Linked DNA regions of Drosophila melanogaster. The protein of the gene in region 1 interacts with the protein of each later gene in a pairwise test. Each region holds a gene or a part of one and is shown on either strand. Other genes may lie near its edges.

What was found.
Region 2: the proteins of Poxn (region 1) and Smyd3 interact in a two-hybrid assay, tested with the Drosophila melanogaster proteins (one large-scale study listed by BioGRID).
Region 3: the proteins of Poxn (region 1) and lms interact in a two-hybrid assay, tested with the Drosophila melanogaster proteins (one large-scale study listed by BioGRID).

Annotation. Positions count from the first base shown.
Region 1 is NT_033778.4:15,832,038-15,836,606, reverse strand, and holds the start of Poxn (Pox neuro), read left to right. Parts: upstream 1-1,551; 5' UTR 1,552-1,924; intron 1,925-4,569. UniProt on the Drosophila melanogaster protein: Transcriptional regulator that specifies poly-innervated organs (chemosensory bristle). Also controls the number of neurons.
Region 2 is NC_004354.4:2,606,165-2,610,547, forward strand, and holds Smyd3 (SET and MYND domain containing, class 3), read right to left. Parts: upstream 2,713-4,383; 5' UTR 2,504-2,712; coding exon 2,307-2,503; intron 2,249-2,306; coding exon 2,007-2,248; intron 1,940-2,006; coding exon 1,806-1,939; intron 1,561-1,805; coding exon 1,098-1,560; intron 1,033-1,097; coding exon 662-1,032; 3' UTR 516-661; downstream 1-515. Other genes in the region: Zw10 (Zeste-white 10), read left to right, coding at 1-365; eIF3g1 (eukaryotic translation initiation factor 3 subunit g1), read right to left, coding at 3,209-4,018.
Region 3 is NT_033778.4:20,554,956-20,560,468, forward strand, and holds lms (lateral muscles scarcer), read left to right. Parts: upstream 1-1,921; 5' UTR 1,922-2,002; coding exon 2,003-2,240; intron 2,241-3,131; coding exon 3,132-3,280; intron 3,281-3,436; coding exon 3,437-4,186; 3' UTR 4,187-4,998; downstream 4,999-5,513. Other genes in the region: Mgat1 (mannosyl (alpha-1,3-)-glycoprotein beta-1,2-N-acetylglucosaminyltransferase), read right to left, coding at 5,085-5,198, 5,252-5,339, 5,398-5,480.

The sequences.
Region 1 (4,569 bases):
AAAAAACGGGTTAGGCTTTAGCCAGTCTTGGTGGATCAGGAGTTCCCCCTGCTAGGGACCATTGATTTCCTAGTCATGGCAACTAATTTCCATTCATCATGTTCGGTACCTCGAATGGATCAATAATCCGGACTCCTCCCTTGGAACAATCACAAACAATGTGACAGCTTTATCTTTCAGCACCAGTCGCCGTCGCAGTGAAAATCCATTTCCAATTGTGAATGCCGAGCGACAATTGTCGAATTCAATTAACGCCTGCGGCACCACCGAGCGTTACTTAACGCCGACACCCACCCAACGACCTCCGCCTCCTGCCGCTCCTCCTACTCCTCCTCCTCCTCCTCTCCCCCGGGAGTTTCCAGCGGGTGGGCAAGGACGAGCCGTAGCTGTGGCCGTAGCTGTGGCTGTTTCGCCAGGGTAACGGCTATGCAGTGTCACAATGCGGATGTGGATGTGGATGGGGTCCTTGGAGTGGGCGAGATACATACACTATCAGTTTCTATGAACCACACGATGCAGGACGTGGGCGGGGGGCGGGAGTGAGAGCGTTTGCGTGCTGCGTTGCCTCCGCCGATTGGCCGGAACGCGGCTGCAACGGCAACGCATCGGCTGCGGAAACGGCCACGGATAAGGCTACGCTCTGCCGCAACGCTCTCTGGCCGGAACTCGCCGACCATCCACACCAAATTCTACTACCCCCAGAGCGTTCACAGAGCGAAGGCGGGCTGCACGGACGTCATGCAATCGCACAGTGGAGCAAAAGTTGCAAGCTGGATTGTACTGAACTTGCTCGGTTTTTGCTCATAACATTAAGTTTGTGTACCAAGTTAGAAAAACAATTTTGACACTAAACTATTAGTTTCAAATCAGGTGGCTCATTCTTAACATTTCAAAGTAGCTTTAATGTAAAAGGTCATGGTATCATGCTTCTATAAGGTTTCCTTTCTTCCCAAATATATTACAATGTAATCCTAAAAAGTTTTGAACTCTTAAATCACAAAGATAGTTTAGTTAGCTGCACTTGAGTATCATCACAATTTTTACTACTAACCAACTAATCAACTAACCAGATTAGCAATGTTTATCTACAAAGGTAACTGCGTATTAGTCACTCTCTGAATATAGTGGCTTTACGTAATTACCCCTAATTTCAATGCGGTTTTCTATGCTGTTGAAATCGACCTAGCCCACTAGCCTCTAGCTTCACACTTGACCCACTGTGCCCGTGTCGATTTCGCTCCCGGAGGACGTGTCACCTGGCCCCCACCCCTGCTGCCGAATCTGGCCAATGGCAGCTCACCGTCGGCGCAGCGTGCGACGCATGCGCACCGGGCCAGCTCTCTGATTGGCTCTCATTGGCTGGCGGTGGGCCAAATGGGGCTGAAACCGACGCGGACGTCGCAGCCGTGAAAAACCGGTTACACCAGAAAAACGGTTCGTCCGTGAGTCCGTGAACGCTTGTGTCAGTGTGTGCGGGCCGCGTATTACGAGTGTGTTAGTGAGCGGCGGCTTTTCGGTGGCGTTTTGGGCCGCTCTGCTTGGCGGCGCTTCAGTAGAAATTGTCGGCTGATGGACCGCGGGCGAGGCACGAAGCCAACTCTCAATTTCCACTGCTACCGCCACTGCCACTGCCACAAAAATTGATCGAATCGATGCGCCGGTCCCGCGATTCGCGTGCAGTTAGTCGAATTTTTGACGGTCGAGTGACAAGGTGCGTCGCGTTCCGAACTCCCAAATAAGAATCATACAGAAGCCATTAGCCGTCGCGCCTCCGAACTGAGTAATCGGCCATTATCCGCGGAATAAGCCACACGGTGCATGCAAAACTCGAGCGGAAAGTGTTGTGCTCAAGTGATCAAAGGATTCGAACCAAGTTGCGGCAAAGTTATTGGATAGCCGGCGAATTCAGTGCTCTAAGTTTAAGGTGAGCACATCTTTTGAATTATATATTTCAAAAGTATAACCATCTAGGAAAGATACTATTCATGGAAGATTATCCGTTTTTGGTCAAGCTTTTATGCTTGCACAACGTTTTTAAATTGAGCTTCACCAAGTTATGTTGAATTGGTAAAGTTTAAGTGTTCATTTGCTATCTAGATTATAAAAAATAGAACATAAAAAGATAAAAAACTAGCAGATTCAAGTATCTGTTATAATATTCCATAGATCGTTTATAACGAATTGTCATTATTATTGGCATAAATTAGTTAGAATACATTTGCTTGGATCTGAAAATAAATTTGAGCTTTTATTTGAATCTGCTTCATTAAATGAAATTAGATGACAACTTTATTAGTTCACTGACAAGTTTTTAGATTGTATATTTTGTTGATTTGGATTTTACGCCAGATGTGCTATCTCGTTTTCTACTCGAGACCAGATAAGCTTAATTGAACTTGGTGAAAAGTGCACACATTGCATTTTGAGTGCAGACACATTCTAATCCGTAATATTATGCCAACACTTGACAAAAGCTAACGACGATGACTTATCGGCGTCTTAATTAAGATCTGGTCGCATCCATCGACCTGCCCATAATGACCACCATAAACGATCGTAATCAATTTGTTTGCGCATAATTTGCTTTCTCAACAACTAAATCATTAAAAATCGAGTCGCTCCCGATCAGGTTGCGGCGTTTTTGAAAGACTTTAATAACGATATTTGCTTATCGAGTTCGACACATCGGTCTCAAGTCCGACCTCGTCCCCCCAGACCCAACGCCCTGCCATCGATCGGCTTATTTCTTAATGAACGACGATCTGATCTAACGGATCGAGTCTGAACGGAACCAAACGGGGCGATCTTCATTCAACCGGCGGCGTTAGTTTCGGCCAAGATTCGATTCCAATAATATTCGAATAATATTCATGTTGTGAATGAAGTGGAAGATGCCACCGGATGGCCTGAATCGAATTTGCAATGCAAAACTACGGCCAATTGAACTTCCGCCGCACCGAGATAACTCATTTAAAGCGGACCAATCGATCGTTGGCCAGACTGCCAACGATCGATGACTGCCTTTTTGGCCAGACTTTAGTTTTCCCACGACCACGGCGAGCGACAAAAGTCAAAAATCGTATGCTAATTAATTCTTTGTCATGCCGTCGTTTCTGGCTGCCATTATGGCCCATTGACTTGTGTGCTTTCTAAGCCAAAGCCCAAGCCACCGGCTTTCGGGGCTTTTGGCCATCGGCAACGAGGCAACGAGCCGTCGGACAACTTACTTAAGCGTGGTCCAGAAAGAGCAAGCTAATCATATTCAAATGGTGAAGCGTACGTTTTATTATAATTTTTTTATTTTAATTAGCGGCTGTTAATGCCCCGCTTGGCTCTGGCTTCGATCGATCCATTGATCTGCGGGGGGGGCAGCAAATGATAAAAAATAAAATCAAGGGAGAGGGTTCCGAAACAGAAGCTCGGCCAACCTGTCGGTTCCACTTTCGGTAATCGCACGAATTTAAATTATTGTATGTTTAACTAATTTCTATCGGTTTTTATGTCTGTTCCGCTTGACATGTGCACGGAGCTAATTGAGACTTACGAGTTGAGGATTGTGGAGAAATCGGTAGCACTTGGGGAAGATACTAATTATACTCGTATATTATCCCCCCTGAAAACCAGAAAGCGGTTCTCGAGAACCCAGATTAGCAACATCCCTATATATATAACTCGCAATTTGGCCTCAAGATCGCATTCAACATTTAAAATTGTAGCCGTTGTGGATCTGGAAAAAACCTTTGCTACGCGTTCACATTTTATAAGGTCTCTTAAAATTAGAGGGGATTTTTTGGTCTCACCAGATACTTTGGATCACTGCTTGTTAGTTAGATTAGATATATTTCCAAAAGTAATACCTCAAATTTAGGTTTTTGTGTTCTGCAAGATACATTTTTCAGCATTCTAAGGATGGATCGTACCCAATAATTGATAATTAACACGTGTAGAAGTGGCAAAGCAAGTGGAATAGTCGCATATTTCTAGGGGTTGCTACTATGTCCGGAACTATTTAGTTTTGACTGCTCACTGGCCTCGATTGGGCCACGAAAAATTCCAGAGAAATGGGCGAGCAGCACGCCAGAGGGGAAATTAACCCTTTCATTGCGGCCAAATTGGATTTGGCCGGAATGTCTATTTCACTTTCTACAAAACCGAGTGGATTTGCAATCCTTATCGCACTGTCGGCCAAATCGTGGCCCCGGGCCAACTGCTAACTTTATGGCCTTAACGGCCAGCACGAGTTTCCCGTTCGCGGTGAGTGGTAACCGAAAAACTGAGACGGAGACTGAGAAGGTCCAAAAAAAACCTAATGAACAACTTAATTTCGAGTTCTTTTTTTCTCGTTCTGTTTGGTGTTTTTTCCGTTTTTTTTTTTTATTTCAAAGGGGGAGTGTGTGGTGCGTGCGGTGGTTCGGTGGCTTAACACGCGCATTTCGGTGGTTTTACGAGCTGAAAAGCGGCAAGGGAGCTGGACGAAGGACTCCCGGGCTCGGCAATTAAATCAAATGTGAATTCCATAATAACATGGCCATGACAAAGTGTGGACCGTCGGCCGGCAGTGGCAGTTAC
Region 2 (4,383 bases), on another chromosome or scaffold:
TGTACAATGCAACCTTCTGCGAGCTAATCAACACATTTGTCGCCGAGCTAATCCGTCGAGTGTTCACGCTGCGCGACATTTCCGCACAGATGGCCTGTGAGCTGAGCGATCTCATTGACGTGGTGCTCCAGCGGGCGCCCACGCTTTTCCGCGAACCAAACGAGGTGGTCCAGGTGCTCTCTTGGCTTAAGCTGCAGCAACTGAAGGCCATGCTGAACGCGTCGCTCATGGAGATCACAGAGCTGTGGGGCGACGGCGTCGGCCCGCTGACCGCCAGCTACAAGTCGGATGAGATAAAGCACCTAATCAGGGCGTTGTTCCAGGATACGGATTGGCGGGCCAAGGCCATTACGCAGATTGTATAGGGCGCGTGCGCCTTTTTTGCGAGCGAGGAATGTTGAACGGCGGATAGACATCACATTTGAGGTGGTAAACGGAGTCTAAATTTGATGATCACCATCAATGTGTCCTTACTTTAATTCCTTGAATTGTTTACCACAAATGCCAAAAGTAATAGAATTTGATAATCTTTAATTCTCCGAATGGTTTCTGTTGTACATAGAAAAGTAATTATCCACAAAAATCCATTCCATTCTTCCCGCAACGCAACACAATATTTAACTTAAGACTTATTTAAATGAATAAAAACAACTAAATCCCATTAGTGCGCCTCTTGTCGCGCTTGTAGAACGAGCATGTATAGCTGCTCAGTAAGCAGTCTGTGATCTCGGCCGTGGGTGACGGTTAGGATGCGTTGGGCCTCCTCCAGATGGTGCAGTGCCTCCTTGGAATGGCCCTCGTAGAGCTGAATCTTGCCCAGCTTCATGTGAAGCAGGCCCAATAGCGGATTCCAGGGTCCGTGGTATTTTCGAAAGCCTGGCAGCAAACGTTGCCCGTAATCCAGGGCGTCGCTCCACTTGCCCACTTCGATGGCTGCTTCGAAGGCCGCATCGAGCGTCTTGACGTACCACACATTCAGGGGATGGAACACGCCAGTCTGCTTGTCCAGACACACCTTGCACACATCGAGATCTGTGATCGAGAGAGTGAAAATGTGCTTATTATGGAGCTAATTCCATTTCGTCGCATCTACTCACAGGCCACGTCCTTCATGTTCTCCAGATTGTGCCGGGTCAGAGTCATCGCCTCGTTGAAGGCATTTCTCAACTTGGGACTGATGCCGGCATCGCATCGCGGGCAATTATTGCGGTCCACACTGATTCCCGCACCGCAGTTGCGATTGGGACACAGGGCAGCCAGCATCTCCTTCGATTCCTTGGCATCCGTGCACTTGCTGCACACGCATAGGAAGTAGTAGTGCTCCTTGAGGTCCAGACGCCTCTGCTCCGGCGTATTGAGCAGGTCGATGTAGCTGATGAAGATTTTCGACCAGTCCAGGCATTCCATGTCCTCGATCGCGTGGACGTGCAGCTCGTTGCCCTCGAAGGTGGCGACCGCATTTGGCTGGCAGCTATGGTCCGTAATCGAGACGCCCAGATATATGGCCGTGGCAATTGAGTTCATCTCGGCGTCCAAGATATTGAAGCCATTGGTGATCAGCTGCAAAGAGCAGAGAAGAAAGAGCATGAGCTCCCGCGTAACTGTGCGCCGGGGAATGTGAACCGAAGCCCTTCCTAGATAATCAATTGACTGGCAGAGCGCCAGGCATACATCATTGATTGCTATCTAATTTGGGCGACCAGGAGCGGCTGCATACGCAAGCGTCTTGGTTTCTCGATTCAGTACCAGTGCGATGAATCGCCCAATCCGCTCCTGCTCGCTCGCACAGGTGCCTGCACACTTACGCGACCATAGATGCTCATCAGTTCCGTCTTGTTTGGCACCGTGCTGGGACTCTCGGCCATCATATCGGTGAGGACGGCATGCAGCGAGTCCAAGTGCTCCAGTCGCATGGGATCGTTCTTGATTTCGGCGTAATCTGTGCACGTTAACGTGGATTAGCTAGGAATGACCATGCAAAGCGGTTCGCCCTTTGGTTTACTCACGGGACATGAGATCGCGAAACTTGCGGGAGCCGTGCTCGGTGTAATAGCCGCGGATCAGGTCTCCGCCGTGCTCCAGGCGCAGGATCAGTCGGCAGAGCATTCGGGCAGCATCGGGCACAACTCGAGGATGCACCTTCTTGAGGAAAGGACACTCGTGCTTGTGCTGGCCCCAAGCTTGCATCTGGCATGAGCGGTGGCAGTAGGACACATACCTGCAGTTGGAGCACTTCAGCACCTTGGTCCTGCAACGACGAACCCAAATTAGATAGCTCACAAAGGCAGCCACATGGCGAAACTTACGCCTCCAGGCAGTTATCGCACCGCTCCAGGCGGTACTGTGATTTCAAGACGAAGGCGAATGGTTTCTCCGTGAGGATCCGCTGTCCCCTTTTTATTTGCGGCGCCGGATTCTTTAGGTTCTTGGATTTGGATGAGCATGCGGATGCGGTTGCGGATGTGGTTGCGGATCTGGATGAACCAACGGTGGCGGTGGCCATTTCGCTCGAACGGAGCAACAACAAAGACTTTCGCCTGGGGGCCCGTCTCACTGACGACTGAAAATGAGCGCACACCTGAAGATCAAAAATATTGTTTCGAATGCTTTTTGAATATTTTGCGGCATCTGATTTCTATTTTTGGCCACAAAAACAAACACAATTTACGCAAATCGCTGGCAAACACAAAAACAACAACACCATGGTGTTTATTCGCATGCAAACGATGGCGTTGCCAGATCGGCTGGAATCATGCTTTCTACAGTGGGCACCGCGTAAGGTTAACTTGTTAACCATATGTGGGTAGCTGCATGTCGTTAAAAAATACACTTAACAAATCATATTCAAGTTTTTTAAGTAACAAATAAAAAATATTTCTTTTATATGTTGTTCCCAGTGTCTACGATTTGGTGGCCTTGCGTCCTTTAAAACGAGGGAGAAAGCTATATTAGAGCAAAAGTCGAAAGCATTTGTGTTGGTTGGTCCGCAAAACTAAAGAAGAGCGATTAAGTTATATCAAATATGAAAAATATACGATTCTAGATGCCATTGTATCCTTGCAGAGCATAGTCATCTGGTTTTCGGTGCCCATGGGGGCTGTTTTAAGATTTATTTGTAGCAAACTTAGCATAGCATAGGGACAAATTGTGTGATCGACTCGAACGGACTCCTATGAGCAGTAAACGCGGGTAGTGGGAACGGGACTAACTAATTGTTCTGGGGTTTCGACCATTCGACGCTGAGGATCAAGTGGTCGTAGCCGTGTCCATTGAGGATCTCGATGGCGGCGGCCGCATCCTTGCGCTGCTTGAAGTGCACGTAGGCGAATCCCTTGCAGAGTCCGGTGTTCTTGTCGCGGGCGAGATACATCTTGCTCTGCGGTCCAATCTTCTTCACCAGCTCCTCGAGATCCGCCTCGGTCATCGACTCCGACAGATTCGATATCCTAATGGCGGCCGTGTCGTCGCGTCCGCGCATTCCCAGCGCGCCCTTTTGGCTGTCCTTGAGGAACGGCGGCACATACTTGCCGGACTTGGGCGCATCGACGGCGGCCGCGGCGGCTGCCGAAGCCTTCTTCTCCATCATATTCGTGTCCATCGCCGTGCCCTTGTACGGGCAGTTGACCGACCAATGCTCACCGTTGCAGATACGGCACTTGGCAATATTCTTGGTGGGATCTAGCAGCGGATCGTTGGCCTTCTCGTCCTCCTTGGAGTTGAGGAACTGCATGATGATCTCCTCGGACACCATGGTCGTCTGCGAGTTGGGGCCGGGCTTGTCGTTCTTCGAGTCGCCGAACTTCGTCCAGGTGCGTCGCTTGGCCACCGTCTTGGGCACCACCTGCTTGGATATCTTGTACGTGCGCACCACCTTCGTCTTCTTGTCGTCCTTGTTGTACTTGTACTCCGTCACGTACTTCTGTCCGTTCTCCACCGTCTCCGTCGTCGGAGGTAGTCCACCATAGTCGAGCTCCACCTCGTCCGCCCAGGAGGATTTGATCGTTTCAACGCCCGGCATCTGAAAGGAATTGAGGGCGCAGTGAGTGGGGCTACACTGGGCGCTTGCTTGGGGTGCACTCACTCTGATTTTCAACGCGATTTGTATGCGAAATCGTAAATGCAAATTTCGCCACGAGTTAAGCGGATTTTTAATCAGCAACAAAAGAGTGTTACCCTGCCGCGGTCACAAAAATATGCCGTGTGTGTCCAAAAAATATACCGCTAATACCACTTTGCACTTTTTGGAATATACCATTTGAAATTTCGTTACATATAAGTTAATAAGTTATCGATTTGATTTTGAAGATCGCAAGCGACCGTTTATTGCAATTTATCATTTGAAACTAAATCTAGCGTACAAAATGTTTCCCTAAGTCCCTAGCA
Region 3 (5,513 bases), 4.7 Mb from region 1:
GATGACAAAAAGAGGGCACAAAAAACATTGAAATTCTGGCCGGAGGACGGACTGTTCCACGCGACTGCCAGTGCAACTCCGGACGTGATTTATGCTGCGTGCGCCTGACAAACACTCGAGAAGTGATGATTTATAATGAAGATGCATGCTCGGTTATTAATTAAATTCTGACGCGACTGCGCTCCATTTAGTCTTAAATGCGAGAACCAAACAAACTGATCTTTAGTTAGCCTAAGGTTATGGTTGTCGTCTTACGCAATAAGGGCCAAAAGATCCTTAATTGATTCGAAATTCCAGAGGCAAATTCCAGTGCAAAGTGGTAAGAGGTATGCAAAATATGTTATGCTGAGAATCTTATAATAATACTTAAACATATCTGCAAGTTCATTTCCTTCCTCAGATTTCTCTGATCCAGTTAGGAAACTTAATATATTGACTTAGCCAAAACAAGATAGAATAGAATACTTATGTTCAGATGTTCGGCTTGAATGTGATTCCATAGATACCCATGGATAGATAGGTTATAAAGTAGCCAACAAATTGGTAAATACTCAAAAATGACGAAGTCGAAACAAAGTCTGCATTCTGTTTGGCAGTGGAATTTGAAATATGGCAAGCAATAGTCGAATATTCATTAAGCGCAATTATGAAAATTAAGTTGTCATTTTGATTTGAGTGCCCGCGACACTCGGGCATGCGGCCTCATAAGCAGATCTAGATCCCCCCCGCATCCGCAACCGAATCCGAATCCCCGCCAGAATTCTCATTAAATTAAATCAAACTGACAGCCCGGCCGGCTAAATGGATGCCCTGCGATTCGTCCCCTTTCCCCTTTTTGCTCCGCCATCTCGGCGACTAATTAACGTGTTTTCAGATATTTTGTTCAAATCGCGCCTGAATAATGAAGACGTTATCATGGGGCATCCGCGCATCCAGGAATGGGCACCCTGTAGCCCAGTAGATGTTGTGGATTTGGCTGCTGGCCAATTGGAAACTAGTGTCAGCCAGGCCGCCGGCTAATTTCTCAGATCCTCCCCTCCATTCGGATCCTGAGTGCCCCTTTTCCATTTTCCATTCTGTCTGAATTATGTGTTCATAATTTCGAATTAATGAAATTTTTACAGGGGGCTTGGGATTGGGATTCAAAGAAATAGAAAGTTATAATATGAAATATCTGTAAGGAAGGTGTTCTAAAAACTCAACAATTAAGTTATGATTCAAAAAATGTTGTGCTTCAAAATTACTGTTTCTCAGATTTAAATTGAATATATTATACACATTAAAAATGTTTCTCAAGCTAGTAGAACCCAATTATGCATTGCGTTACAATCACTTAGACTAATGGCCTTGTATTACTTTGTTAAGAGATTTAAAAAATTCCAAAAAATCGACAAAGAAACCATTTGTACATTTGAATACAATTTTTTGAATGCTGCATTGTTTAAAGAATTCTGAATTAACCCAAAAGAGGACACGTGCCTGCACACCAAAGCACTGAAAACAAATCCAGTCAAAGAAATTGCTCGCCGTTCATTAATCAAATGGATGAAATATGTTGGCAAACGTATTAAATATATTTAGCAAAGCCATCGAAATATTAAATAGCGCTACTTGTAGACAATTAGCCAAAAATTATGACTTTTAATCACGGGCAAGGCGACAAAAACAATTTCGAAAACCCAGAAGACGGCGTTGAACGCGAGCCACGCCCCTCATCCCAAACATTTCACACATGTTTTAAAAATAACCGAACTTGTGTGCTGTCTTCAGTGAAAATCGAATAGTATGTTTCTGTTCCTTTCTGTCGTTCTATTTGCGCATATGGTGTGAGCGGTGCGGAGATATATGATTTTAGGCTCCGCCCCGCCAGGCGATCATCTTGAAAAATCGGCCAGTGAGCAGGATGCTCCGCATATTCAAATTAGTTTTCCGTAAGATCTCCACGCGCGCTGTTGTCTCCGGAATATCTTCAAAATATATATCGCTCGCAATCGGCGGAAACATGAATTCGCAATCGGCAGTGCGTCGCTATCCACACAGTTTTTCCATCGAACAAATTCTGGCCAAGCCGGAAATGCGCAGCTCCACTTCCTTTGAGGACTCCGTGCAGGATGAAAGCGGTCGCGGTGGCAATTGTCTCGGTGCTTCACGGGCTTCCAGTCCGGCAACATCGAGTTGCTTGGATGACAACATGGACGACGGCAAAAGTGATATCGATTTGGCCTCAGATGATGGAAACGGTGCGTATGATCGATATGCCGGAATATAAGCTTTACAACGACGAGAATTTTGGTGTCTGGAATTGGATTTGGGATCTAAAAACTTAACTTAAAGCTCAATTGGATCCTTATTAAATAGCAAATATACAAAATATAGATTTATACTGAACTTCATCAGGATAAATAGCACCAACAGCCAAATAGTCAGTGCTTTAGTGCTTTTAAGTGTAGTATTATCAAGGTTCAAGGAATTATCAAGGATCTTTCAAATAATACAGTTACAATATACAAATTTTAAATTCTGAAAAAAAATGTCTCTAAAAGATGATTTACCTCCTAATGGAATCACCCATAACGAGCTCAGCACAGCCGTTCATTATTGTATGTAAATATGCAATGAGTTTCCCACCTGAACGAATGAGTGAGTGCCTATGGCTGAATGATCTCATCTGTCATCCGTGCGATCAAGAAACAAATGATCAGAAATTAGCTTCTGGGTGACAGGGAATAAGCCATCCATTCCATATCCACATTTTCGTCGACACCAACGCAGTCGACTAATGATGCAAATGTCACAAGCGAACAAAGATCGCTGGCGATCTCAAAGGAGATATTCTTCCACCCGTTAAGAAGGAATTTATATGGCTATTTGTTTTCGGTCGGCCAAGAGAATGTATGCCAAAATGGCCAATTAGACGCCTTGGCTAAGTGAAATGCAACAGTGTGATTTGCAATTTGCCAGGGGTTTTGCGGTGCGACGGGGCATTTTACATACACATACAACTGTGCCAACAACGGATCGACAAATTACCATTAGGCGAAAATAGTTGGCACCGCGCGCCGGATTGCCCGCTGTCGGTAGCAATAAATGTCTAATTGGGATTTCGATTTCCCACTTTGATTCCATTGCAGGCCTTGGTGATGACCGCAAAAAGCGACCGCGTACCGCCTTCTCGGCAGCTCAAATCAAAGCACTGGAAACGGAGTTCGAAAGGGGAAAGTATCTTTCGGTGGCGAAGCGAACTGCACTGGCCAAGCAGCTGCAGCTCACAGAAACGCAGGTTAGTTGTGGAATCTATCAAAAAATTTAATTACTACCCAAAAAAGTTTGCCATTCTATCTAAAAGCGATTAATAACATGAAATGAAATCCCTTGTATCTATGAGATACAATTGGCATTCCTCGTAAATAATTCATTCATTCATTTCACTTTTCAGATCAAGATCTGGTTCCAAAACCGCCGCACCAAGTGGAAGCGCAAGTACACCTCGGACGTGGAAACGCTGGCCTCGCACTATTACGCCCAGCTGGGTATCGGGGGATTGGCCAGGCCGATGGTGGTTGGTGATCGCCTTTGGCTCTTTAGCCAAACGCCAACGGGTCCCACGCCCATTCAGTCCATTATGCTAAATGGCAGTGGCTCCGCTGCACCCATGGCCTCAGCAACGACGGCCACCGGCTCACCCATGCGTCCGTACGCGACTAGCGGCGGAATGCCACCGTTGCCGGGTCCCAGTGTGATGGAGAGTGCCCGTAATGCCATACTGGCACGTGGACAACCCTTGAACTTCGCCCTGCCCTTTGGCGTGGCTAAGCCGCCGGCGGGTGGTGTGCCTGCGGCCAGCTACATCCCTCGCTGCAAGCCGTATGCGACCAGCTATGTGGACTACGCGGCGTCACTGCCAACGAACGAGAGCTATCTGCAAATGAAGTACGCGACGCTGCCGCCGGAAGCGGAAAGCGGCGCCTCCAATGGCCTCGCCGAACTGGAACGCGTCTTTGGGGATGCCAATGCCAACTTTCTGCAACAACGCAGCACGCCAGTCGCTGGAACAGCCACAGCCTACGGCCACGATGGATTAAATCAGGCGCAGCGGAGCCGCAGACCCACACAATCGGAGTCCGAGTGCAGCGACATTGACTGCGAGCATCTGGACGAGGATGAGGAGCCACCTGCTGCGGAGTGAAAAGGCGATTGGTTGTCTTTAGAATTTATGTTCCGTACGTCTCTCATACACACAAAAATATGCTCATACAAAGTGTAGTCATAGGGGGTAGTAGAGTAGGTGTCCTGTCTGGGTTGATTCCATTACAACTAGCTGAGAGTGGCACACTTTCAGATCTGGCCGGGATTACTGGCGTACCCCTGGTGGCTCAGCACTGGTCTAGTTTACGTTGTGGTTCTAGTACTAGTACTAGCGCTAGTTATTGCTATTCTATGTTACATTGTGTGGGTCGGGTACTGTTTACTGACTGGCTCTCAACAATTAATAAATGTAAATTAAATAATCAAAAATCACAAATATTACACGTCCGTTGCCGTTAGAACTCTAGTTGGATCAACTTAAATGCTACAAATTACACGCTGCATACTATAACTTAACCATTGCTATAACTATTTGCAATTTAACACGATAAATTGAGAGAGATAGACAGATAGAGAGAGCTGTAACAAAAGCGAACGACACTGACTTATTTACAATTCATTGCGTTGCTTGTGTGGCTGGTGTGCTAGAATGGAACACTTTTGGCTCTTGCCACACACAGTTCGGTTCGGTTGACTACTATACATAGTGGAGACTCATTTGATTTGATTTTGTTACGCCAACAGTAGGTCCGTAGGCTAGGGATCTGGAGCAGACGAATTGCGTTTTCTATCAGAAATCAGGGCTAGTACTCCAAGTACTCCTGCCTACGCGATGGCTGCGAACAGCGTCTACTGTTCGAGGAGATTCCATAGTTACAACTTAGCTAATTGGTCAAATAAAAATTAAAACTCATAGGGCTATTTTTGGTATTGCAAGCACGCGGAGCTAGCTGCGTGGTAATGGAAGTGGAGCTGGCGGTACTCTGTCCTTAGCGTCGTTAGCTCCAAGAGAGCTCGTAGCCCTTCCAGTTGGCGTTGGGTGCCAGATGCACGCGCCGTTTGTTGTAGTAGAAGGAGACGATGCCATGGTAGGCAGTCCGCGGAACACCGCTCTACAAAGATTAAGAATAATCATAGTTTCAAGCACATAGATTGATTGATCTACCTTGAAATCATCCATAAGACCCAGCATCTTAGTTGTCCGCTTGTACTGCTCCCTAGTAGTGTATTGAATGCGAACTGGACCTTCGATTCTGCAACACCATAATTGGAATTATGTAGATACTTTCTATATATCATATATCAACTCACCTAATCAGGTTTCGCCGCAGCTCATCGTACGTAACAATGGGATACGTATAAACGCGCCGCAGAAACGTGTTATCGTAATTGTCCTGAACATGAAATAGTTGTTAGTGTAATGAGGC